6 linked regions of the Oryctolagus cuniculus genome follow. Each later gene encodes a partner of the first gene's protein in a complex. Links are inferred from orthologs where the notes say so. Each region holds a gene or a part of one and is shown in the gene's direction. Other genes may lie near its edges.

What was found.
Region 2: the proteins of CDC42 (region 1) and FMNL2 are in contact, whole or in part, in a crystal structure (PDB 4YC7), measured with the Homo sapiens proteins. The link is inferred for Oryctolagus cuniculus from reciprocal best matches to the Homo sapiens genes CDC42 and FMNL2. Residues at the interface, in NP_001034891.1 of Homo sapiens: Val36, Phe37, Asn39, Gln61, Glu62, Asp63, Tyr64, Asp65, Arg66, Leu67, Arg68, Pro69, Leu70, Pro73, Ser88, Glu91, Asn92, Lys94, Glu95, Lys96, Pro99, Glu100, Thr102, His103, His104, Pro106, Lys131, Asn132, Lys133; in NP_443137.2 of Homo sapiens: Ala41, Met42, Asn43, Leu44, Pro45, Lys48, Leu52, Tyr55, Lys59, Glu62, Leu63, Asp66, Gln67, Arg69, Phe70, Lys73, Tyr79, Arg108, Glu109, Ile112, Ser113, Leu114, Arg115, Thr116, Asn117, Ile119, Val122, Asp219, His222, Met226.
Region 3: the proteins of CDC42 (region 1) and FMNL1 are in contact, whole or in part, in a crystal structure (PDB 4YDH), measured with the Homo sapiens proteins. The link is inferred for Oryctolagus cuniculus from reciprocal best matches to the Homo sapiens genes CDC42 and FMNL1. Residues at the interface, in NP_001034891.1 of Homo sapiens: Val36, Phe37, Glu62, Asp63, Tyr64, Asp65, Arg66, Leu67, Arg68, Pro69, Leu70, Pro73, Lys94, Glu95, Lys96, Pro99, Glu100, His103, His104, Lys131, Asn132, Gln134; in NP_005883.3 of Homo sapiens: Cys45, Met46, Asn47, Leu48, Pro49, Lys52, Leu56, Tyr59, Lys63, Glu66, Leu67, Asp70, Gln71, Phe74, Tyr83, Arg122, Glu123, Glu125, Thr126, Ser127, Leu128, Arg129, Thr130, Asn131, His132, Ile133, Val136, His228, Met232, Arg235.
Region 4: the proteins of CDC42 (region 1) and WAS are in contact, whole or in part, in an NMR structure (PDB 1CEE), measured with the Homo sapiens proteins. The link is inferred for Oryctolagus cuniculus from reciprocal best matches to the Homo sapiens genes CDC42 and WAS. Residues at the interface, in NP_001034891.1 of Homo sapiens: Gln2, Tyr23, Thr24, Thr25, Val36, Phe37, Asp38, Asn39, Tyr40, Ala41, Val42, Thr43, Val44, Met45, Ile46, Gly47, Tyr64, Arg66, Leu67, Leu70, Lys153, Lys166, Asp170, Glu171, Ile173, Leu174, Leu177, Glu178, Pro179; in NP_000368.1 of Homo sapiens: Lys230, Lys231, Lys232, Ile233, Ser234, Lys235, Asp237, Ile238, Gly239, Ala240, Pro241, Ser242, Gly243, Phe244, Lys245, His246, Val247, Ser248, His249, Val250, Trp252, Phe258, Leu263, Asp264, Leu267, Leu270, Phe271, Ala274, Gly275, Ile276.
Region 5: the proteins of CDC42 (region 1) and IQGAP2 are in contact, whole or in part, in a crystal structure (PDB 5CJP), measured with the Homo sapiens proteins. The link is inferred for Oryctolagus cuniculus from reciprocal best matches to the Homo sapiens genes CDC42 and IQGAP2. Residues at the interface, in NP_001034891.1 of Homo sapiens: Gly12, Ala13, Ile21, Thr25, Asn26, Lys27, Phe28, Pro29, Ser30, Glu31, Tyr32, Val33, Pro34, Val36, Phe37, Asp38, Tyr40, Phe56, Tyr64, Leu70, Gln74, Gln116, Leu119, Asp122, Pro123, Ser124, Thr125, Glu127, Lys128, Lys131; in NP_006624.3 of Homo sapiens: Gln893, Thr894, Asn924, Tyr925, Ser927, Asn928, Gln929, Arg930, Glu931, Glu932, Arg976, Gly977, Asn979, Gln983, Asp1067, Leu1068, Leu1069, Pro1070, Tyr1071, Lys1191, Phe1192, Asn1193, Lys1196, Tyr1197, Leu1200, Val1201, Thr1202, Val1203, Ser1204, Lys1205.
Region 6: the proteins of CDC42 (region 1) and ARHGAP1 are in contact, whole or in part, in a crystal structure (PDB 1GRN), measured with the Homo sapiens proteins. The link is inferred for Oryctolagus cuniculus from reciprocal best matches to the Homo sapiens genes CDC42 and ARHGAP1. Residues at the interface, in NP_001034891.1 of Homo sapiens: Asp11, Gly12, Ala13, Tyr32, Val33, Pro34, Val36, Phe37, Gly60, Gln61, Glu62, Asp63, Tyr64, Arg66, Leu67, Leu70, Ser88, Glu91, Asn92, Glu95, Lys96, Asn132; in NP_004299.1 of Homo sapiens: Glu278, Gly279, Phe281, Arg282, Arg283, Ser284, Ala285, Asn286, Thr287, Gln288, Asn309, Glu310, Val316, Lys319, Arg323, Asn385, Lys386, Met387, Asn391, Val394, Val395, Pro398, Asn399, Trp402, Ala403, Lys404, Ala406, Ala407, Thr409, Leu410.

Annotation. Positions count from the first base shown.
Region 1 is NC_091438.1:148,699,289-148,702,788, reverse strand, and holds part of CDC42 (cell division control protein 42 homolog), read left to right. Parts: intron 1-157; exon of another isoform or gene 158-422; intron 423-561; 5' UTR 562-610; coding exon 611-715; intron 716-3,500. UniProt on the Homo sapiens protein: Plasma membrane-associated small GTPase which cycles between an active GTP-bound and an inactive GDP-bound state. In active state binds to a variety of effector proteins to regulate cellular responses. Involved in epithelial cell polarization processes.
Region 2 is NC_091434.1:89,233,057-89,236,556, reverse strand, and holds part of FMNL2 (formin-like protein 2), read left to right. Parts: coding exon 1-111; intron 112-2,295; coding exon of another isoform or gene 2,296-2,387; exon of another isoform or gene 2,388-2,421; intron 2,422-3,500. UniProt on the Homo sapiens protein: Plays a role in the regulation of cell morphology and cytoskeletal organization. Required in the cortical actin filament dynamics.
Region 3 is NC_091448.1:18,420,434-18,424,538, forward strand, and holds the start of FMNL1 (formin-like protein 1), read left to right. Parts: upstream 1-1,305; 5' UTR 1,306-1,671; coding exon 1,672-1,800; intron 1,801-4,105. UniProt on the Homo sapiens protein: May play a role in the control of cell motility and survival of macrophages. Plays a role in the regulation of cell morphology and cytoskeletal organization. Required in the cortical actin filament dynamics and cell shape.
Region 4 is NC_091453.1:33,872,043-33,876,235, forward strand, and holds the start of WAS (actin nucleation-promoting factor WAS), read left to right. Parts: upstream 1-1,393; 5' UTR 1,394-1,463; coding exon 1,464-1,595; intron 1,596-1,892; coding exon 1,893-2,033; intron 2,034-3,457; coding exon 3,458-3,544; intron 3,545-3,645; coding exon 3,646-3,748; intron 3,749-3,844; coding exon 3,845-3,886; intron 3,887-3,979; coding exon 3,980-4,033; intron 4,034-4,193. UniProt on the Homo sapiens protein: Effector protein for Rho-type GTPases that regulates actin filament reorganization via its interaction with the Arp2/3 complex. Important for efficient actin polymerization. Possible regulator of lymphocyte and platelet function.
Region 5 is NC_091445.1:1,169,375-1,171,896, forward strand, and holds the end of IQGAP2 (ras GTPase-activating-like protein IQGAP2), read left to right. Parts: intron 1-1,196; coding exon 1,197-1,310; 3' UTR 1,311-2,022; downstream 2,023-2,522. UniProt on the Homo sapiens protein: Binds to activated CDC42 and RAC1 but does not seem to stimulate their GTPase activity. Associates with calmodulin.
Region 6 is NC_091432.1:19,236,916-19,240,415, forward strand, and holds part of ARHGAP1 (rho GTPase-activating protein 1), read left to right. Parts: intron 1-1,374; 5' UTR 1,375-1,411; coding exon 1,412-1,547; intron 1,548-1,771; coding exon 1,772-1,867; intron 1,868-3,500. UniProt on the Homo sapiens protein: GTPase activator for the Rho, Rac and Cdc42 proteins, converting them to the putatively inactive GDP-bound state. Cdc42 seems to be the preferred substrate.

The DNA of each region.
Region 1 (3,500 bases):
CACAATAATTGGCATATTACATAGGATTCTTTCGGATACAGCCCTTTTCTTTGAGTCTGAAAAAAAATATGGGAGCAGGCATTTCGCCTAGCAGTTAAGATAGTCACATACTATATTGGAGTGCCTGGGTTTGAATCTTGGCTCTGCTCCTTATTCTAGCTTCCTGCTAATGTTCACCTTGGGAGGCGGCAGGTGATAACTCAAGTATTTGGATTCTTACCACCCACTTGGGAGACCTAGATTAAGTACCTGGCTCACAGCTTTGGACTGGCCCAACTCCAGCCCTGGATGTTATGTGCATTTAGGAAGTCAACGAATGTTAGGTGCTCTGTCTCTCCTGCTTCTTAAAGAGAGAGAGAGAGAAATTGAAGCAATCCAGGATCAGAAACTTAGAAAATCGACTGTTGTTACTATGACTTTGAGTAAGTCATTATTTCCCCCTTTAGAGTCCTTCAGTCGTGGTAGTTGTGCTAGCTCTGTTCTTTCTGTGAAGAGATTTTTGCCATTTGAGGGAAAAAATATGTAAGTATAAATAAAACAAATATTTAAATCTTTTTCTAGGTCATCATCAAGTTTGAATACTTAAAGTGGATACAAAACTATTTCAGCAATGCAGACGATTAAGTGCGTTGTTGTGGGCGATGGTGCTGTTGGTAAAACATGTCTCCTGATTTCCTACACAACAAACAAATTTCCATCTGAGTATGTGCCGACTGTGAGTATAAAGGCTTCCATCTGTTAATGAAATGTATTATAATTTGATACCTTTTGACAATGCTTTCTCTGCTGAAATTTTTCTGTTGTCTACCTTGTTTCCTATTTTTAAAGAGCTTAACTTCTCATGAGTAAATTATATACACTTTAAAATTAGCAGAAAAATCAGTGGAAAGTTGGAAGGGGTGATATAAGGGTTTGCAAGAAATTTTGGGAGGCAAACTCCATAGACAGGATTCTGACCAGTGGTGGTGTCAGTTTAGAGACATATGCCCTATGTCTTGGAATGAGATTTCTTTTGATATCTTGGCCAATAAATGACCAGCACTTGAAGGTCTCCTGGGATGCATTTGGGGTTCTGTAATTTCAAAGAAAATAATCTCTGTAGAGCTGTTCTCTGAGCAGCAATGGAGCATCACGCTGGTTCCTAGAGAAGACCTGTTTTGTTGCGAGAATACCAACAGAAAACTTTGGGAATCTTCCCTGACAGTTACTTTATTATCAGCTCCCCTGAAGGATAGAGGGAGGGATAATGAAGATACTGAAGTGATAGATGAGTTACTTAGAGTAACACCTATCTGTGAAAGATTATTTGGGAATCTAGTGTTTGTCCCAAATTGCTTGACCCATCCAATGGTATAATTGTGTTAAACATACTTGTTCCTTGAATGAGTAGAGGCCAGTTGGAGTTAGCCTGTCTTGGCCTCCACCTCTGGCAGGTTTAAATGTTTTGAAAGACTCGTATGTAATTAATGTGCAACTGGTATTCTTTGGAAGTGAAAAGGGAGAAAATGATTGGGTACTTGAGGTTAATGTTCAGAGACTTGAGCGTTATTAGGAAGGTAAATACAGGTTTAAGGTTTGGTGATTGCATTCTGTTGGGATTGATAGGCTCTATAAAGTTCCAGGGCAGGTAGTGAGTTAGGCCAAGGAAATAGGAGAAGAGAAGACAAAATTTCTTTGAGGAAGAGAATTGGAAAGTATAATTAAACTCAAAAGTCTTATTTTTGAACTGTTCCATATGAGGACAGTATAAATGGAAGACCTTTTAAAGTTGCAAGGGACTTTTAGAGATGTATGGGTCTTGTTTCAAATAAGGACAACTGTCAGGATTTTGTATTTCAGTCTCCATGAAGGTATTTACTCAGCGTTATTCAGAGTCTTATTTTATGACTGATTATTTGGTGATATTTAAGGTGGACTTGTGGGTGCTTCATATTTGTGTTTGTATGTGGATCTCCAGAAAAGGGGTAGAGTGGGAGGAAGAGTAGTGGTGGGATAAAATTTAAACTGAGCCTATTTAGGTAAATCAATGACAATAAAGCACAAAAAATGTTCTCATTGTTTATATAAGTTGTTATGAGATTGTGGTGCTTATTTGTATCCATTTATGAGCTGGGAGCTGCCACTTTTAGACTGATAGAAATTCAGAGCTAGAAGGGATCATACGTACCATCTTATCCATCTCTTCTGGGTTAGGAAATTCAGGCCAATTTAGGGATGAGACTTAGAAGTCTAAGTAATCAAACACACTGGTGTAGGTAGAGTCTAGAATGAAAGGCAGGGTTTCTGTTTGTTAGCCCAGCCTTGTATGTAAATAACCCTTTAAAGAAGGGCTATTTGAGTATCTTAAGTGTGTCTTAAATGAAATAACCTTTATAGTTTTCTGACTTCCTTACCATCTCCCTCTTGCCCTTGTTTCCGCTTTCCTTTACATCTAACTTAATTGATCTTCTAAACAACTCAGTATAATGGGAACCAGAAAATTATATTACATAGCCAGAAGATTAAGTGAGGCTGCTTTCAATATATAACATCCTCCTGATTAAAAAGCATTGCTTTTCTTAAAAAAATTTTTTTAAAAGATTTATCCATTCACTTGAAAGAGTTAACACAGAGAAGGAGAGGCAGAGAGAGCAAGGGGTGGGGGGAAGGTCTTCCATCCGCTGGGTCACTCCCCAGTTGGCCACAATGGCTGGAACTATGCTGATCCAAAGCTGGGAGCCAGGAGCTTCTTCAGATCTCCCACCTGGGTGCAGAGGCTCAAGGACTTGGGCCATCTTCCACTGCTTTCCCAGGCCACAACAGAGAGCTGGATCGGAAGTGGAATAGCTGGGACTCGAACTGGCGCCCATATGGGATGCTGGCACTGCAGGCAGCATCTTTACCCACTATGCCACAGCGCCAGCGCCTTAAAATTTTTTTTAATTAATTAATTTAAATTTTATTTCTTTTTAAAAAGGATTTATTAATTTGTTTGAAAGCAGAATTAGAGATAGATCTTCCATGTGCTGGTTCACTCCCCAAATGGCCATAATAGCCAGGGCTGGGCCAGATGGATACCAGGAGTCTCCAGTGTGGGTGGCAGGGTTTTCAAACAGTTGGGCCATTTTCTGCTTCTTTCCCAGGTGCGTTAGCAGGAAACTGGATCAGAAGTGAAGCAGGCCAGGACTTGAATCAGTGCTCATGTGGATGCTGGACTTGCAGACTGGGCTTAACTCGCTCTGCCAGAACACCAGTCCTTAATTTTGATTTTAAATTTAAAAACTTTGCTGTAAATCAACAGCTACATTTGTATGTGAAAGCATTGTTTTTCAATTAAAATTTTTCAAAGGAGCCCATAAATTAGTTTTGGCTCTTTTCCCATTAGCACCATTACCTCTCATTTTCACAAACTTAGTATAACCAAAATTAGTAGATAGAGTTTTTTAAAGGACTAAATGATCTATTTATAAATGAGGCATCTCGGCGGAGTAGATATCTTAGGTCATGTGGTTTGTACCCAA
Region 2 (3,500 bases), on another chromosome or scaffold:
AGTCAAAGAGGCAGCAGCAAGAACTGATCGCAGAGTTAAGGCGGCGGCAAGTGAAAGATAACAGACATGTTTATGAGGGAAAAGATGGTGCCATTGAAGACATTATCACAGGTAAAGTATGTCTCCATACCGTGGCACGTGGAGATCCCACTAGCCTCACGCGGACTGGGCTCTAGGCAGATTTTGCAGTGTCTTTTGCCCAGGGGTTGGCAACTTCGTTCAGATCTAGAATTATACCCAGAGACTCCATGCTAGGGGTTGAAGTACATTATAGCAGCATCGGTATTGGCCCAACACACTCTCTGAAAGATCTATATCTCAGTATCATTGGAACCCTATAGGTTTCAGCAGTGCTGCTTCTCCTAATGGTTTTCCATTATTTTCAATTTTATCATCTCCATGTTCCTCATGGCCACCCCTACCCACCTGCCTGATACATAAATGTAGCTAAGACCACTCAGCTTCGTATTAACTACCATTCATGCAGGCTCTCCCCAGCATGCCAGTTAGAAGCCTCCTTATTCTAATTCAGAGTCCCTGAACTCAAAAGGAAGTCAGGGCCTGGTACTTTACTATGGATGATCCAGTGGGCTTCTAGCCCAGGGCTAGTGACTAGCTGTTTTGCCAGCTAGGAACCATGTGTAACCCAGGGTGGTTCTTCTAGCCTCATGTTTCCTGTTTGAACCAATTCTTCTGGGTTGCTGTACTTTGTCTTACAGATCACCATGATAATTTGGGCTATTGTCTGGTAGCAGTGGCACAAAGTGACTTTTTCATGTCTGTTGCACATGAATGCTGTGTATCAGCGTCTAAGACACTTATAAGCTTTTTATTATAGGAAAATTCAAAAATAGACAAAAGCATAGTGAAGAGAATCCCATGTACCTTGGGATTATTTTGAAGCACATCCAATACATATTCTACTTGGAAATATTTTGCTTTAATGTCTTCCAAAAATAGGGGCCCTAGAAAAATAAAAACATACCCACAGTACCCTCCCCCCCCCCCCTTTTTTTTTTCAAGATTTATTTGAAAGAGTTACACAGAGAGAGAAGGAGAGGCAGAGAGAGAGGTCTTCCATCTGCTGGTTCACTCCTCAATTGGCTGTAACAGCAGGAGCTGCACCGATCCAAAGCCAGTAGCCCAGAGCTTCTTCTGGGTCTCCCACGCGGGCACAGGGGCCCAAGGACTTGGGCCATCTTGTACTGCTTTCCCAGGCCACAGCAGAGAGCTGGATCGGAAGTAGAGCAGCCAGGACTTGAACTGGCGCTCATATGGGATGCTGGCACTGCAGGTGGTGGCTTTACCTGCTGTGCCACAGCGTCAGCCCCCGCATTGGCCTTTCTACTTACCACCCAAACTGACAAGTTCTTAATATCAGATATCTAGTCAGTATTCACATTTTCCCAGTTGTCCTAATTTCTTAGAAAACCTAATTCCTGGTCATGTTTTTTCATTTCTTATTATAGCTTAGCCAACACTGAAAATTGGGATCTCAAACTGTGAAACCCACACATTTTTTTCACCAACTCAGACCCAGGGGAATTAAATAGAGAAATTAGACACAGATAAGCCAGATAAGATAGTTATGGATTTTTTTTTAAAGAGTCAATAATGGTTCAGATTGAAGTAGTATAAGGTCTGAAAGGGCAGTGGCCGATGGAGATGCCATTCTCTACGCACAGCGCACGTGCATTCGGCGTAGGTGTGCCTACTCTGAGTGGCCTGCAGAGGCCTTCAAATTAAAGCCCCCATTGTTGAGCATGTGTCCTTGCCTCCTCCACACTGAGAGAGAAAGCCTACTCTGAACGAGACCAGGAACAGATCTCCTCTCTAGGTAAGCACTGGTTAGTCTCAGCACCACAGTAAGATGAACTTGTAGGTAGGGAAGCATGCAATGTTGTAACGAAGGACTTGGTGTTCTGTTTAACCCGGATGTGTCTCCATCCCAAAGACACCTGGCTTTATGTAAGGAATGCAACGTCCATTTTCTATGTCCCTGACCTAAGCGATTGATCTACCAGAGGAGGTGATGCGTATCTCCCTCTCGAGCAGTTTTTATTCTCCTTGGAATGCATTCCATTTTCTGCTCTGCTCCTAAGCCCCAGGTTGAAAAACTCTTAAAGACTTCCATGAACTAACTGGAGTGTACCTCATGTTCCCCGTTTCCTGCCCACCCTCTCCCCACCTCCGTCCCCAGGTATGATTAACAAAGCACTAACCATGAACTAATGTGATGGATCTTGGCTTTCTCCTCTCTTTGTCTGTGTTGTTTGGCTGTCATTCTCAATGCAGTGCTGAAGACTGTGCCCTTTACTGCTCGCACCGCCAAGCGTGGCTCTCGGTTTTTCTGCGAACCTGTTCTCACTGAGGAATACCATTACTAAACTATTACTCTTTCTCACCTGATGCTCTTAAAAGGTTGCTACAGGTTTTTTGTTTATTTATTTATTTATTTATTTTGACAACTTATGTCCCTCTCTGTGTGTCTGTCAGGGCCAATCAATGTGTAGCATGGAATTACCATCTCCATCATGTTGTATTTTGTGTTGTCCTCATGCTGCATGGTTTTGCATTTCAATTATTACTGCTCACTCACTGCCACTTTCAGTACTTACATGCAATCCACATTGCTGTGACAGTCTGGGCATGGCTGACAGTTGAATTAATAGAATTGCTTGAAGAAATTTGCAGAAAAATGGTAAACAGAGAACTTCCTTGAAAATCAGGATTGGGACCAAGGAGATTGTAAGATTTTTGGACTTAAATGTTTGAATACAAAGGGATAGTGTCATTACTAACAGTAACTATCATGGCTAACATTTGCTGAGCACTTTTGCTGTGCTCTACTAGGTTTATGGATATTACAGTAGCCCCTCCCCCCTTTAAAAACAAAAATACCCAGTTACCTCAGAGTGTTCTGAAACTGCAAAATGATTCTCAGAAAGAACTTTGAATTATGCATAGCTATAAATTGGGCCTTTCTTAGCTGTCATGTGCAGTCCATAATGTAATGGAATGGAATTCACAATGTAAACTTAACCCTGGCATTGTTTAGAAGTCTGTATGCTGATATTGGCAATCCATGGCCCCACAGCACCCCACGCTGAGCTGGTCATATGTGTTCGCTCTGAGTGTCATGCCCAAGTGTAGTTATGAGCAATTCCATGTTGGAACAAAGCTATGATGCAGGAAGAGTCAACAAAGATGCAGGCGCTCACACCATCTTACCTCATCCATACCTCTTCACGGTGACTTTGTTCCATGTCAAACCCAGCGTATTTCTTCTGTGAGATTATCTCTGGACCTGCTTCTTGGATCAGGATAGTGGCACCAGAAATACAAGCAACAAATACCTATCATTGGAATGCCACTATTCTTAGAAGTCAACAAAGATAACCAAATTTTCTCAATAAGTAACTTCCTGGGCTCAGATTGTGATGAAACTTCTCTCTAGTGCCTTGCTGATTAGAAAAGGCACGAGGGAAGCCCAGTCTGTC
Region 3 (4,105 bases), on another chromosome or scaffold:
CTGCCAGGGCTTCCTCGAGATCAGGTCTCAGGTCCTTAACGTCCCAGAAGGCAGAGTGGGGGGAGCCATAAGTGGTGAGAACACCTGGGCCCCCGCCTTGCCCTGAGCAGGTTCTGGGCTCCTTCGCGGCCCCCTGGTCAGCCCCCACCCCACCGGTGCTATGCCGAGGCTCTCACTGGGCGTCCCCACTAATTCAGTGGGGAACAGAAGGAGCCACGGGAAGAGTCTCACATCCAGGCTGGACACTGGGCCCCAGGTCTGGGGCTCCACGCCGACCCTCAGATGCCCTCCCTCCCCAGATCCCAGAAGAGAAGGCAGAGTAGACTCGGGAGGTGACTGGGGAGGGCCTGTCTCTGCCCTTGACTAGCTGCGTGCCCTTGAGCAAGTCCCTCAGTTTCCCATCTCTGGTAGAGGGTCAGCAACACCTACCGGCCGAGTGGTCATCAGGGAAGGCGGGCAGAGCCCTGGAAGCAGCAGGCACCAGACACTGTTAACCCCAGGCCGGCGGCCACCCCGGGTCTCTGCAGGAAAGCGTCCAGGAGAGTCCTTTTCCTCCTCTGCCCCCTGCTCCTTGACCAGCCTGGCCGGCCCTGGCCGCGGGCCCCGGTCCTCGCTGCTCCCTGGCGCTGCCCTGGCTACCCAGCTACTGGCTGCCTGCTCTTCCCTAGGGGTGCCCCATCCCCAACCAGCACCCCCCTCCCGGATGCCGGCTGGACGCACAGACGCTGCAGTGGGACAGGTGGCAGGGGTCTCCTTTGGCCTGGATCCGCGCCCCTCCCACCCTGTTTTGGGGCTCCCGCTTGCAGATGGTTCCCTCTGGTCCTTAGCGCTCTCCAAGCTGGCGAAACCGAGCGGACACGAGACGTGGGGGGCCTGGAAGGGGGTTCCCACTCTCCATGCGGGGACCTGAGAGGGGGACGGAGCCCTGCAGCCCTGCGCCCCAGCGCCGCACCGCCACGGAGTCTAAGTCGCGCTCGCCACAGCTGAGAAGCCTACCTCGGAGGTGTGCCCCCTGCTCTCCCCGTGCGCCCCCGTGGTGCGACCCCTTTCATCCAGACCCAGCCGCACCCCCGCCCCCGGCGGAGAGGGAACTGCGGTTCTAGGACCCGGAGGCGCCGCCGCGCGCGCCGCCGCCTTGGCCTCGCTTCGGTCTCCTCCCGCTCCGGCAGGTGAAGTGGCGCCGGCCGCCCCCTCTGCGGCAGGTGAAGCGGGCCGGCCGCCCCCTCCCCGCCGCGCCATGGCCGCGGTGGACCCCCGGCCGCCACCCGGCGCCCGCCCCCTCCCTCCAGCCCGCCCCGCTGCGGCCGGGCACGCAGCGGCGGCGGCGGCGCACGGGGAGCGACAGCAGAAGTTCGAACATCGCCGAGGGGGGAGCCCGCGCCGCAGCTTCCTGCCCCCGGCCCGGCCCTCTGGCCCCGCGGCCTGCAGCCTGACTTCCTCCCCCACCCTGCAGCGCGCCGCCTGGCTCCCTCGGACCGGGCCGCCCCGATGGGACGCCGCGCCCCGGCTCCTGCGCGCCGCTGAGCCGAGCGCCCGCCGAGCGGAGCCGAGCCGAGCCCCGCCGCCGCCTGCCGCTGCCCCCTCGCCCTCCGGATCGGGAGCCTAGTCCCATCCCCCGGAAAGCTGGATTTCCGAGGTTGGAGGCGACTGGCCGACTGGGTGGGGACCACCATGGGCAACGCGGCCGGCAGTGCGGAGCAGCCCGCGAGCCCCGCCACGCCGCCCCCCAAGCAGCCCGTGGCCCCCAAGCAGCCGATGCCCGCGGCAGGGGAGCTGGAGGAGAGGTTTACCCGGGCGCTGGTGAGTGCTGCCGGTGCGCGGGGGCGGGCGGGGGGCCGCAGGGGCTGGGCTCGCATCCCCGCCCCCGGGGGCTCAGGTACCGCTTGGAGAGCCTGGCCCGGCGGGACCCCTCCGGGGGTGGCAGCGACAGTGGCTTTTTTCAGAGTGACTTAGCACGCTTCCCCCAAAACTTTCTTCTGCGGCAGCCCAGCCTTCCCCCCGCAGAGCCCCTGCCCCACCTCGCTCACGCGCTCCCGGTCTGAAGGTCTTTCACGGACCGTCCCGCGAGCAAGTTGGGAGCTGGAGCAGTCTAGGTGCGGGGGCGCGGCGCCCCCTTCCCATTGCGCGCAGGCCCGGCCGCCGGGCGCGGGTCCGGAGCATCCGCCCTTGGGCTCGCTCCATCCGAAGCGTGGAAGCTGGGACGGGTTCTGCTTTAGCCTCATGGGAACCAGAGACCTAGCGAAGGTGTTTAGCCAAGAATCGTGCGGGGCCTGGGCGGCTGGGAGGCCGGGCAGCGGGTGGGTCTGTGTGTCCCACAGCGCTTCGCAGGTGGCGGCCAGAGGTGGGTCGGGTCTTGGGCGCCCCTCCCCAGGCGTCCGTGGAGTACGGTCAGGAAGGGCAGGGTCAGGATGCTTTGGTCACTTTGGCTTGGGATTGAAGCAAAAATCTGGAAGCCCCCCTACCTCCACCACCACTGTCTGGGGGTCTGTAGGAGGGGAGGGGTCCACCAGCTCAGGCTGAGGCCGGTTGCAGTCAAAGTGTGCTTGCTTGGTGCTGCAGGGAGCTCGGAGCAGAGGCAGGGGACCCCAAGACTGGCAGGAGGCAGAAGTAGGGGAGGGGAGAGCCACTTAGTCCCACTTCCGCCTCCCAGCCCAGCCCTGTCCCCGGCTCCCTGGTGGCCTGTCCACCGTCAAGGCTCCCTTGCTGGACAGTGGTGACAGCAAATAAGGCCCTGCTCGTCCTCTGAGCAGGCTGGCCCTGCCGGGCTGAGGCAGGTGCGGGCCCAGGGCGGCTTCCTACCTCCCAGACACCGTTTCCCTCCCGTCCCCTGGCTGGCCGTCGGGCCACACTTGCCAGGTCCACTCTTCATGGCCCCAGAGGAGAGCCTCCCAGCAGTTCCTGAAAATCTTGGCTGCTGCCTTCTCCCAGGAGAGCAGGAAGAGCCATCCGGAGCACCCTGGGCGGAGTGGGAGCTGCGGGTGCCTGGCTTGGCTGGGTGGGTGGGAGCTCCCAGGGACACACCACTTCCCCGACTTCCCCACCGTCCCACCTGCCCCCACTTCCCTCCTCCCAGACCCAGGGCTTGGCAGAGCTGAGCTGAGCAGACAGGGAAGGGGAAGAACCAGGGTGTGTCTGGACCCCCACCGATCCGTCTTGGCCCCCTCTAGCGTCTTTTCATGGATGGGGGTGGGGCTGCCCTTGGTGACGTCCAGGCCCCCCTGTCTGTTCTGGTTTGCACACGATGGGGAGGAGCCCTGTGAATAATTCAGAGCAGTGGAAAATCCAAAAGTCAAATGGTGAGCTCTGATGCGTGTGGGGGACTGGATTGCCCTGCCCTGGTTTGTGGCTGTAACACAAAATGCCCCTGGGAGTCCCTGAGGTTCGGGCGTGGAAGGAGGCAGAAGTGGGCCTTACTGGGTGTCTGCGTGGACAGTGGGTGGTGGAAATCTGGGGCAGTCCTGCTGGTAGAAATCAGGGGTTCACACCCCACTTCCCCTGGTCCCCAGGCACCCCCTGTGCTCACACCTTCTTCCTGGGGAGCGTCAGCCCATTGTGGGCAGGGCAGATCCAACCTCAGGTCACTCAAGTAAGAACTGGGCTCCTATGACTCCCCAGCAGCAAGAGATAGCCCCCCCCCCAAGCAATAGCCTTGACCTCTGATGGGAGCTGTCCAAGGCTAGAGCTTTGGCTGACCCACAGGTCTGGCAGGGGTGTTGCAGGGTGGGGCGCCCCCTGGTCATCACACCCCCTGGGGCCAGAGCTTGGTCCCCATCCTTAGTCAATGTCAAAGAAACCACCCTCAGGGTCCCCCAGACTGTGGGCAAAGCACAGAGCTGTCCTTGAGTGGCCTTGGGGAGCTTTTTCCTTTTCCTTAAGCTTAGTACTGGTGGGGAGTCGGATCCCAGCCCCCAACTCCTCCTCCCTTCCTGGCAGTGGAGGGCGAGTGGTCCGCCTCTCAAGCCCACAGCCAGACAGGCGGTACAGGGAGCCTTTCTCCCATGCAAGGACGGGGGGGCACCTTTCCAAGCAGGCTGAAGAGAGAGGGGTGCCCCAAGCTTAAAATGGGGGTGGGGAGAAAGAGCAGGTTGAGCCAAGGTGCCGGTTG
Region 4 (4,193 bases), on another chromosome or scaffold:
ATCTGAAGCCAGGAGCCAGGAGCTTTTGCCAGGTCTCCCACACAGGTAGAGGGGCCCAAGTACTGGGCTATCTTGTACTGCTTTCCCAGGCCATAGCAGAGAGCTGGATCAGAAGTGGAGCAGCTGGGACTTGAACCAGCAGCCATATGGGATGCCGGTGCTTCAGGCCAGGGCTTTAACCCGCTGCGCCACAGCCCTGGCTCCATAAAGTTCCTTTATTTTAATAAAGAGCTGAGCGAAGGGGCCCGGTGCTGTGGCATAGCAGGTAAAGCTGCCACTTGTGGTGCTGGCCTCCCATATGGGCGCCAGTTCAAGTCCTGACTGCTCCGCTTCCGATCCAGCTCCCTGCTAATGCTCCTGGGAAAGCAGTGGAAGATGGCCCAAGTGCTTGGGCCCCAGCACTCATGTGGGCAACCCGGAAGAAGCTACAGGCCTCTGGCTTCAGATCGGCCCAGCTTCGGCCGTTGCGGCATTTTGGGGAGTGAACCAGAAGATTGAAGATATCTCTCTTTCTCTCCTTCTCTATCCCTGTCTTTCAAATAAATAAATAAATGATTTTTAAAAATTAAAAAATATATATATATATAAAGAGCTGAGGGACGGCGCTGGGGTGCAGTGAGTTAAGCCATAAGCTGTGACACTGGGAGCCCATGTGGGAGCACCAGTACAAATTCTGGCTGCTCCACTTCCGATCCAGCTCCCTGCTAATCCACCTAGGAAGGCAGCAGCAGACGACCCAAGTGCTTGGGCCCCTGTACCCACGTGGGAGACCTAGATGGGGTTCTGGGCTCCTGGCCTGGCCCTACCCTCACTGCTATAGCCATTTAGAGAGTGAACCAGCATATGGAAGATTCTCTCTCTCTTTCTCTCTCTCTGTCACTCTACCTTTCAAATAAATAAACAAAATAAAAACAAAAAAGGGCTGATGGGCAGAAAATAATTTGGTTGCTACAGGAGACAAGGGTAAGGGAAGTGACCTAGGGGTGTGTACCCTGTTGGCAATATCTGTGGCTCAAGATAGGAGTGGGCTCCCAGGGGCTTGCTATGGAATTAAAGGGAAAAGTCTTGGACCTGGGCCCCGGAGTCTATGGTGTTTTGGGGCAGAGGGAGGATTCCCAGCCTGATGGCTCCTCCTCGCCCCAGCCAGCCCTGCAGAAGTACTGCAGATGGCTCAGCTCCTGCTGCCAGCCAGAGAGAGGAAGCTCTGAGTTTGTTGGAGGAGGTGGGCCCCAGAGGATAAGACTGAAGGAGAAGGACCTGAGCTAGTTAAAAAAGATGGGTCTAAGCAGTCCAACAGAGGAGGGCCCGTGGGGAGGACGAGGCCAGGCCTACTGAGAGGCCCCCTGGAGGACTTGTTTCTCTTGTGGTTTTTTTGTACTTCCTGTTCCCTTGCTCACTGCGGAAGTTCCTCTTCTTACCCTGCACCCCGAGCCTAGGCGGAGAGGACAAGGACAGAAGGCACCATGAGTGGGGGCCCTGTGGGAGGCAGGCCCGGGGGTCGAGGAGCACCTGAGGTTAAGCAGAACATTCCCTCCACCCTGCTTCAGGACCACGAGAACCAGCGACTCTTCGAGATGCTTGGACGAAAATGCTGGGTGAGCTGGGGATCTCCCGGCCCTCCCTTCCTCTTCTTCCTCTCCCTCCTGCCTCCTCATCCTCCCCACCCTTTGCCTCTCCCTCTCCATCTCCCCCTCCTCCTCTGCCTCCCCATCAGCCCCTCTCCTAGAAGCCACTTTTCCACTGCTCACCCATCCCAGGAAGATCCCGAGGCCTCCTCACCTTCCTTCGGGCTGCAACTCTTCCTTCAGGCCCATGACAGGGGCACAGGAAGGCCCAGGTCTGGCTCCCCCCACGACCAGACCAGACCCACTGATCCCTGCTCTCCCTCCTAGACGCTGGCCACTGCAGTTGTTCAGCTGTACCTGGCGCTGCCCCCTGGAGCCGAGCACTGGACCAAGGAGCATTGTGGGGCTGTGTGCTTCGTGAAGGATAACCCCCAGAAGTCCTACTTCATCCGCCTTTACGGCCTTCAGGTGACCCTCCCCTCAATGGATAGGCAAACCCGACCTCAACCTGCAAAGCCAGACCTTTGCCCATACATAGCTCTGAGCCCTGGGACCAGATGAGCAAATCCCTGAACCCTAGAACTAAGGCTCCCTCCCCCAGGTCTCAAACTCTGGTTTGCCTTTTTGACTTCACAATGACTGACCCCAGAGTCTCCATATCATGGTATCTCAACCCCCAAATATTAGACCACCTCCCAGGCCCAATTGGGTCTACAAATTCTAAAAACTGACCATTTGATTTATGCCTGTACCTCAAATCTGTTCCCAGCTTGACATGTTGCATCTTAGGAAATCCTCCATCAAAACTCCTGAGCCCCAGATGTTTGCCCAGCTCCTAAGTCATAAGCCTGTTGTTGCTCAGACCCAGAACCTGAAGATTTCATTGAGTCTTGAACTTCTCAAACTCCAAATCAGTCTTTATTTATTTATTAATTTAAGTCAGAGTTACACAGAGAAGGAGAGAGAGAGAGAGAGAGAGAGAGGTCTTCCACCTGCTGGTTCACTCCCCAATTGGCAGCAATGGCCGGAGCTGCACTGATCCAAAGCCAGGAGCCTCCTCTGGGTCTCCCATGTGGGTGCAGGGGCCCAAGGACTTGGGCATCTTTTACTGCTTTCCCAGGCCATAGCAGAGAGCTGGATCAGAAATGGAGCAGCTGGGACTCGAACCGGCGCCCATATGGAATGCCGGCACTGCAGGTGGTGGCTTTACCTACTATGCCACAGCGCAGCCCCCCAAATCAGTCTTTTTAAGCCCACAGCAAGGACCCCAGAATTTCCACATTAACACTTCTGAACACCCAAATAAGGAGGTAGTGCTGCAGCAAAAAACAGACCTGTCTTATCAACCTCCAACCCAAACTTTCCAGGCTTACACCCAAATTCATCCTCCTAAATCCATAAAGATGGACCTACCATCACTTCAAGATGCCAAAGCCATCAACTATTGATCAAACACCACAGCTCTAAGTCTGCTCTACAAACCCTAAAATGCACATACTTTGTCTGGACTCCTCCCCCAACTGCCAAGTCTATATGTCTGAACCTCAAATCTCAACCCCAACTCCCAAATCCTAAAAGCCTACCTTCCATGGAGTTGGGGCAGTGCAGGATCAAGTGAGTCTATGTGTGAGCCTCAATTTCCCGGGTCTTGCAGTCATAAGTTTTCCAAACCACGACCCAGTTCCCACCGCAGAGTCTGATACTCAGACGATATCTCAACCCTCCGATTCTGACACCCAGCCCCCACTCCCTCTGATACTGAGCTGAATATCTCCAAAATTAGACTCCAGAGCCCCAAATCCAGACACCACGCTCCCTGCCCAGATAACAGCTTGTCACCCACCCAGAGGGTGCCTCCGTGCCAGTGTGTCCCCTATCCTGCACCTCTCCAGGCTGGCCGGCTGCTCTGGGAACAGGAGCTGTACTCACAGCTGGTCTACTCCACTCCCACCCCCTTCTTCCACACCTTTGCCGGAGATGTAAGTGATCAACCAACCCCTGCGCAGCAGTAGGGAGCATGGGGAGGGGGTGCTAAAGGTGTGAGGGGCCTGGAAGGCTGCTGACCCTGAGGCATGTGCAGGACTGCCAAGCGGGCCTGAACTTTGCAGATGAGGGTGAGGCCCAGGCCTTCCGGGCCCTGGTGCAAGAGAAGATACAAAAAAGGAATCAGAGGAAAAGTGGAGGTGAGGAGGCCTTGGGGGTAATAAGGAGGTTGCACAGAGATGAATGTAAAGGTGGCAAACTACAAAAGCCCCATCATGATTTTGGCTCCCCAACAGACAGACGGCAGCTACCCCCACCACCAGCACCAGCCAATGAAGGTGAGTCCTCTAGCACAAGTAGCAATAAAAGGGGCCCTGCCCAAGAACCTGTGGCAGGATGGTGATAGCACTTTCCCCTTTCCATCTATCCAGAGAGAAGAGGGGGGCTCCCACCCTTGCCCTCACACCCAGGTGGAGACCAAGGGGGTGAGTGCTGATTCTGCTTTGTGTCTCTGGATGGATAAGTGGGTGAATGGAGGGGCAAACGGGTAGGTATGTGGATGGATGAGCAGGTTCATGGACGTGTGGCTGGATGAATAAGTGCATAGACAGGTGGCAGATAGATGGCTGAGAGGAGGGGATGAAT
Region 5 (2,522 bases), on another chromosome or scaffold:
CAGTCACTTCGCTGAGCCCGGGCAGTGACGTCAGCCCTGGCCTCCTGCCTCCCCCACCCGCCCACGCAGGCCAGGGCCCTTCCTCTCTGTCCAGCAGCCCGGGAAAGCTCAGGCCAGAAAACCAGGCCGAAAAGGCCCTGATAACGGCACGGAGATAGGGTGCAGAGATAGGGTGCAGAGAGGAAGCTGAGACACAGTGCGGCCGTGGCCACGCCGAGGATACTGAAGTCACGTGCTGCCTTCTGCCCTTGGGGGACTACACAGGGCAGCTGGCGGGGGTCCTCCGTGCTTCCTGTCGCTGTGGGGGTGAGACACCCTGCAGGACACCCCTCAGGGGCGGCTGGGCCCCGGCAGACACCGTCCGGGCTGCTTAGACCCGAGGCCCCTGCCGTCACCCACTCACACAACACCATCTGTTCCCATGACAGCTGACTGTTGGCAGATGGCCACGGACCCCCGGGGGCTCTGTGATTCGCAGGCACCACGCAAGATACAAATGTAGGGCCCCTCCTCAAAATTGTTACAGATTTTGGGACAAGAATCTGAAAGCCTGAAACCGTGCAGGGCTCCTCTGAGCGTGGCCCCGGGTCGCTGGCAGCCGGAGCCTCAGAGAGGCCAGATGGCTGTGTCCAGGCAGCATGTGCCTCCACGCGGACTGGTCGGTTAGCCAGGAGGACGACGGCCCGGACTTCCGTGGGAGACGGGTGGGGAGCCTAAGGGGGTCCCGTGCTTCCAGGTCCTGCCTACCTGGTCCTCTTCCTACCTGAAGAAAGCGCTAGGGCCGCGTTGTGCCCGGTGGAGAATTCTGTGTCCTGCAGGCCAGCATGGTGTCCTGTGTCCGAGGCTGACGCACACCTCCTGGGGCTCTCACACCCGCCCAGCAGGATGTGTGGCTTGTGTGGCAGGCGTGTGCGTCTAGCATTCAGGCCCAGCGTCCGGCGAGCTCTGCCAGCCCCCGCCCCCCCCCCCCCCCCGCCCCATGGCAGGTGAGGCTCCCGGGGCCGTCACAGCCGGCCGGTGTGAGGTCGTCCTGGCTCTGCCCTGCTGCAGACGCCTCCGCAGCGGTTCCCGCGGCTGTGCCCGCCCGGCGCCGTGTCCTCACGCACGGAGAAGCTGGAGACGCCGTACGGGTGACGGGCGGCTCCGCGCCCCGTGCTCACCGCGGCCTGTGTGGACGCTGCTCCCCTCCCTTCCAGGACCTGCTCGAGATGCAGTATGAGGGCGTGGCCGTGATGAAGATGTTCGACAAGGTCAAGGTGAACGTGAACCTGCTCATCTACCTGCTCAACAAGAAGTTCTACGGGAAGTGAGGCGGCCGCGCCTCGCACCGGGCCTCACCGCGGAAGGGATGCGTTGAGTATTTTTTTTAAACACGATCAGAATCACTGCTTAGAAACGTGTGATTTTTTTTTTCAAAGACCAAAACTGTCCTGGAAAACGTACCCATGTGCCTTCTTGCCAAATCCGTGCCACGCTGGAGTGAGACGTGGAGCTGGTGGGTGTGGGGCGCCGGCGGTGCCGTGGCGACACCGTGGCTGCTGTCAGCAGGAGATGCGCTGACCGGGCCCCGTGTCACCCGGCGCTGTGAGCGGTCCGAGCGCCCTCCTGAGCCCCGGGACGCTTCCTGGATTTCTTGTTTTTCTCAGCCGTGGGGAAATAGAAACCTGATGATTTGAATGAATTATTAGACAGTTCTAAGCCCTGTCTTCTGGGAATTACTGATTTTAAAGAGAAATTTTGTGCAATTCAAAATGGGGTTTCCCGAGTGATTGAAGGTGACGATCACCCTGTCCCCTGTCCGTGCTGAAGCCTGCGCTGTACGCGGTCCGTTCCTGGAGGGGAAAGCACTACTGGGCGGGCCAGGGCCCGGGACGACCCCTGCCGTGCGCCCGGCCCCGCCCCGCCCCCACAGCTCAGCTCAGCACTTCAGCTGTGACGCTATGAAATCGGTGTCTAGATGGCTCCAAAGTGTATTCTCTGCAAATTGTTTTACGTAAAATAAACATTGCTTGATGACATGGATTTGGCTTTTATCTTAAACCCAAATCATTTCATGGGCACAAGATTCCTGATGGGGCAGAGCAGGCAGACACTGCCCGGGCACTGTGCTGGTTGTCCTGTCGCTGTGCCCGGTACCCGGTCACTGCACTGGTCACCTAGTGCTGGTCACCCCAGTCACTGCACTAGGTACCCTAGTGCTAGTTACCCCAGTCACTGCACTAGTCACCTAGTGCTAGTCACCCCAGTCACTGCACTAGTCACCCTAGTGCTAGTTATCTCAGTCACTGCACTAGTCACCCTAGTGCTAGTTACCCCAGTCACTGCACTAGTCACCCTAGTGCTAGTCACCCCAGTCACTGCACTAGTCACCCTAGTGCTAGTTATCTCAGTCACTGTACTAGTCACCCTAGTGCTAGTTATCTCAGTCACTGCACTAGTCACCCTAGTGCTAGTTACCCCAGTCACTGCACTAGTCACCCTAGTGCTAGTCACCCCAGTCACTGCACTAGTCACCCTAGTGC
Region 6 (3,500 bases), on another chromosome or scaffold:
TGGGGTGGCTGGAGCTGGGCTTCATGGGCGAGGGGCACAGTAGTACCGGCCTTGGGAAGGGCATTCCTGATGGGGCAGGGTCGTCCTGCTGTGCGGGCTCCAGAAGGGACGTGTATTCTGGTGGTGAGCAGGGATGGGGACCAGAGTGGTGGCTCGGCCAGAGGAGGCGGAGGAGTGGAGGACGAGTGTTTTGGTAGTATGGCTGCTTGGCTTTGGCTGGGGAGCTTGAAACAGCTTTTGCCACTGAATCCGTGTGGTCACCCTGGCAACAGGGTGGTGGTTGCTAGGCACAGGGAGCCGGTTTGCAGTGCAGAGCCCGTGGCTGTGAAGCGTGCGGGAGGCTGGCACGTCGCGTCAGAGCCCGGATCTGTGGCTCTCGGATGGCACTTCTCCCCCTCTTCCTCCTACCCACCCCCGGGCCTTGTCTGCTCTCCTTATCTGCCTTGCTCACTCTCTGACCATATATGTCATTTTTTTGGGCTCCAGGAATGCGGCTGGGCGTACAGCAACCTCTTCCCTGGGGTTGGACCAAATGGGTTGAATTAAAGCCCCCCTCGCCACCCGGGTGGTGAGCTTGTGGCAGGAAAGGGAGTTGCTTCCCTTCCTTCCTTGGGGCTGCAGGCCGGAGGTGCCTGCCCCGCTCTGCTGCAGGCTTCCTCCTCCTGGCGGCCACATCTAGGCCTGGGAAACCCTTGCTCCCTGCTGTGGCCTCTCTTCTCAGCACCCCAGGTGTCGTGAGCGCCCCCTTGCCCTCCGTGTCCTTGGAGCAGTCTTTTCCACCTTGACACTAGTGCCGGGTGCTCCCCGGCGGGTTCAGCATGGCCTGGAAGCCCCTAGAAGCCTGCGGATTGTCTGCTGTTGACTGGCAGGCAGGTTCCGTCCCTCCTGCTGGCTCCCATCCCAGGGCAAACCCAGTGGGGCCCCTGAGGCAGGCCTTTTTTCTGGGACCTGTGGTCTCTAGCCAGGGGAGGGTTGGAGCGGCCAGGGCCTCAGCTGACCTGTTTCAGGCGTGGGGTGCAGCGCTGTAACTGCTGGGGCCTGCAAGTCTATGCTCTGGGCCTCCGGAGAGGGGGGCGCCGACCTCCGGCCTCTGCAGCTGGGTCTGCCTGACCAGGCCAGCCAGGGGTCAGGCGGCGTGGGACCTGGCACAGCAGGAGGACCTGAAGGGGGAGGCCGAGCCGTGCTGCCCTCCGCTCCAGCTGCCTTTCCTGGCATCTCACTCCCTGGAGTTCTTGGCAGGATGACAGGGGCTGAGGGACAGGGACCAGGGAGCTTGGGGGAGGGTGGGGGAGGGCAGGGTGCTCACCGTAGATGCTGCGAAAGATAACTCCAGAGGTCGCTGACCCTGGCCCGCCGCCATGCCTCCCCTCGCAGGGTGCCCCTCGGCTTCTGCAGGGCGACAGGCTTGGCCATGGATCCGCTGTCAGAGCTGCAAGACTATGACCTGATCCTGGACGACTCGAGCCAGGCGCTGAACCAGCTGAAGCTGGCCTCCATCGACGAGAAGAACTGGCCCTCGGATGAGATGCCCGACTTTCCCAAGTCAGGTGGGCAGTGCCGCATCTCGGGCAGCGGTGGGCAGTTTAGCAGGGGAGACCCCCACACTGCTGAAGGGAGACCCTGCAAGGCAGGATGGGGGCAAGCAGACCGGCCCGGGGCTGGGGTCGAGCTGGGGCGCAAGTCTTACCAGGGGGAGGGCCAAAGAGCGAGTATCTCGGAGAGCACATGGGAGCAGCCCCCCAGATCATCCTGACTTTGCCGTGTTCCCCAGATGACTCCAAGAGCAGCTCCCCAGAACCCGTCACACACCTGAAGTGGGATGACCCCTACTACGACATCGCCCGGCACCAGATCGTGGAGGTGGCAGGTGAGCGCCCCCAGCTGCGAACCTTTTCCCCCCGGGGTGCTTCCGGCCCAGAGAAGCCACCCTTCCCGCCGAGCTGCCCTGTGGGCTGACCCCAGCCCGGGGCACCATCCTTCAAAAGCCCAGACTTGACGGTGGCTGCTCCTTGACCTGTGACCTGCACCTGCCTCCTGACCCATGAGCCTCTGCCTCCCCTGCTCCATTTGCAGATGATACGAAGGAGGCTGTGTGGCCCAGTGGCTTTGAAGTCGAGAGGCCTGGGTTTGGGGCCCAGCTCTCTCTCTCTCTCTCTCTGAGCTTCTTTCTTCCTTGTTTGGCCGCTGAGAGGACTGTAGTCATGAATGTGTGTCAGGGCCTAGCCTGGAGCCAGCACGATTAGAGGCCCTGAGTGAGTGGCCTTCCCTCTCCCTCACTGCGTTCCCCTCCCTCCCCTTGGCACTGACGTCAGCCTTCCCACCCCATCAGTTACTGGGAAGGGGGCCAGGAACCCTGGAACAGGCAGTGGCTCCTTCCAGAAGTGAGGGGCCACGTGACTCCCTGGAGCACTGGTGTCAAGGCACGTGTGCTGCCCTGTGGGTTCTGGGTGGGGACCTCCCTTCCTCCTGTTCAGAAGTGAGGAGCCAGGAGAACCCAGGAGCGGGGGAGACAACGAGATGTTGATGACTTGGTTCCTGCCGTTAGGGTCCCACTGCCGGAAGAGGCCGCTGGAACTTTAGGATCCTTTGTCTTTTCCCGGTGGTTGTCTGTCTTTGCTGGTGAGCAGGGGGACAGCATGGCCCTGCTCAGAGGCTTTGGGTGAGCAAGGGGAGCCAGGCAGAAGCTGGCCCTGGAACCCAGTGTGGTGCTGCCTCAGAGGACCCTGGAGGAAGCCATGTGCTGGCCACAGGGAAGCAGCTGGGAGCGCTATCCCTCCATCACCCCATCAAAGGTGTTCCTGGTGCCTGCCGTGGTCTGGGGTAGAGGCGAGCTCTGGCCTGTGTTACCCCTGCAGAATTCTGGCCGGGGCTGAGCTGGGCCTGGGCACAGGAGACACCCTTCCCTCCACCACCACTGCACCCGATTGGTGTGGAGAATGTCCGATGTGAGGAGTCGCTCCGCTGCCTGGCCCCTGAAGTCCCACACAACACAGAGCTGCAAGCGCGTGTCTTTCCCCGGGGTGTGACGAGCCTGAGGGGCCCAGCTCCCTGTGGCTGCAGCTCTCGTGGAGGCCAAGTGGTATCAGCTTATTTGCAGCCGCACTCTGGGGAGCTGGGGGCTGGTGGGGTCGGGGAGCAGGAAGTAGCGAAGGATTTATAGGAGGCATGACAGGGTGGAGGCGAGGTGGGGACACACCCAGAGGCCACAGGGAAAGGAGTTCCAGGGCCGGGAGGCGCCCCATTCATACTGGGCCTGGACACTGGGTGCTGGCGTCCAGCCTGGGCGTGCCCCCTAATGTGAGCACGAGGAGCCTGCACGGGCACTGCCAGGGTGACGAGCCATGGCGCCGTCCCAGCGGGCCAGTTTCTTGCAGCCGGAATCATGGAAAAGAGCCCCTGTGGGAGGGGACGCGGTGTCTCCAGTCCCTGTGCAGCCTCCCCTCTCCGTGCTTCTCCGTCAGGTCAGATGCCAGGGGCTTCCTCCCAGCGGTTGCCAGTAA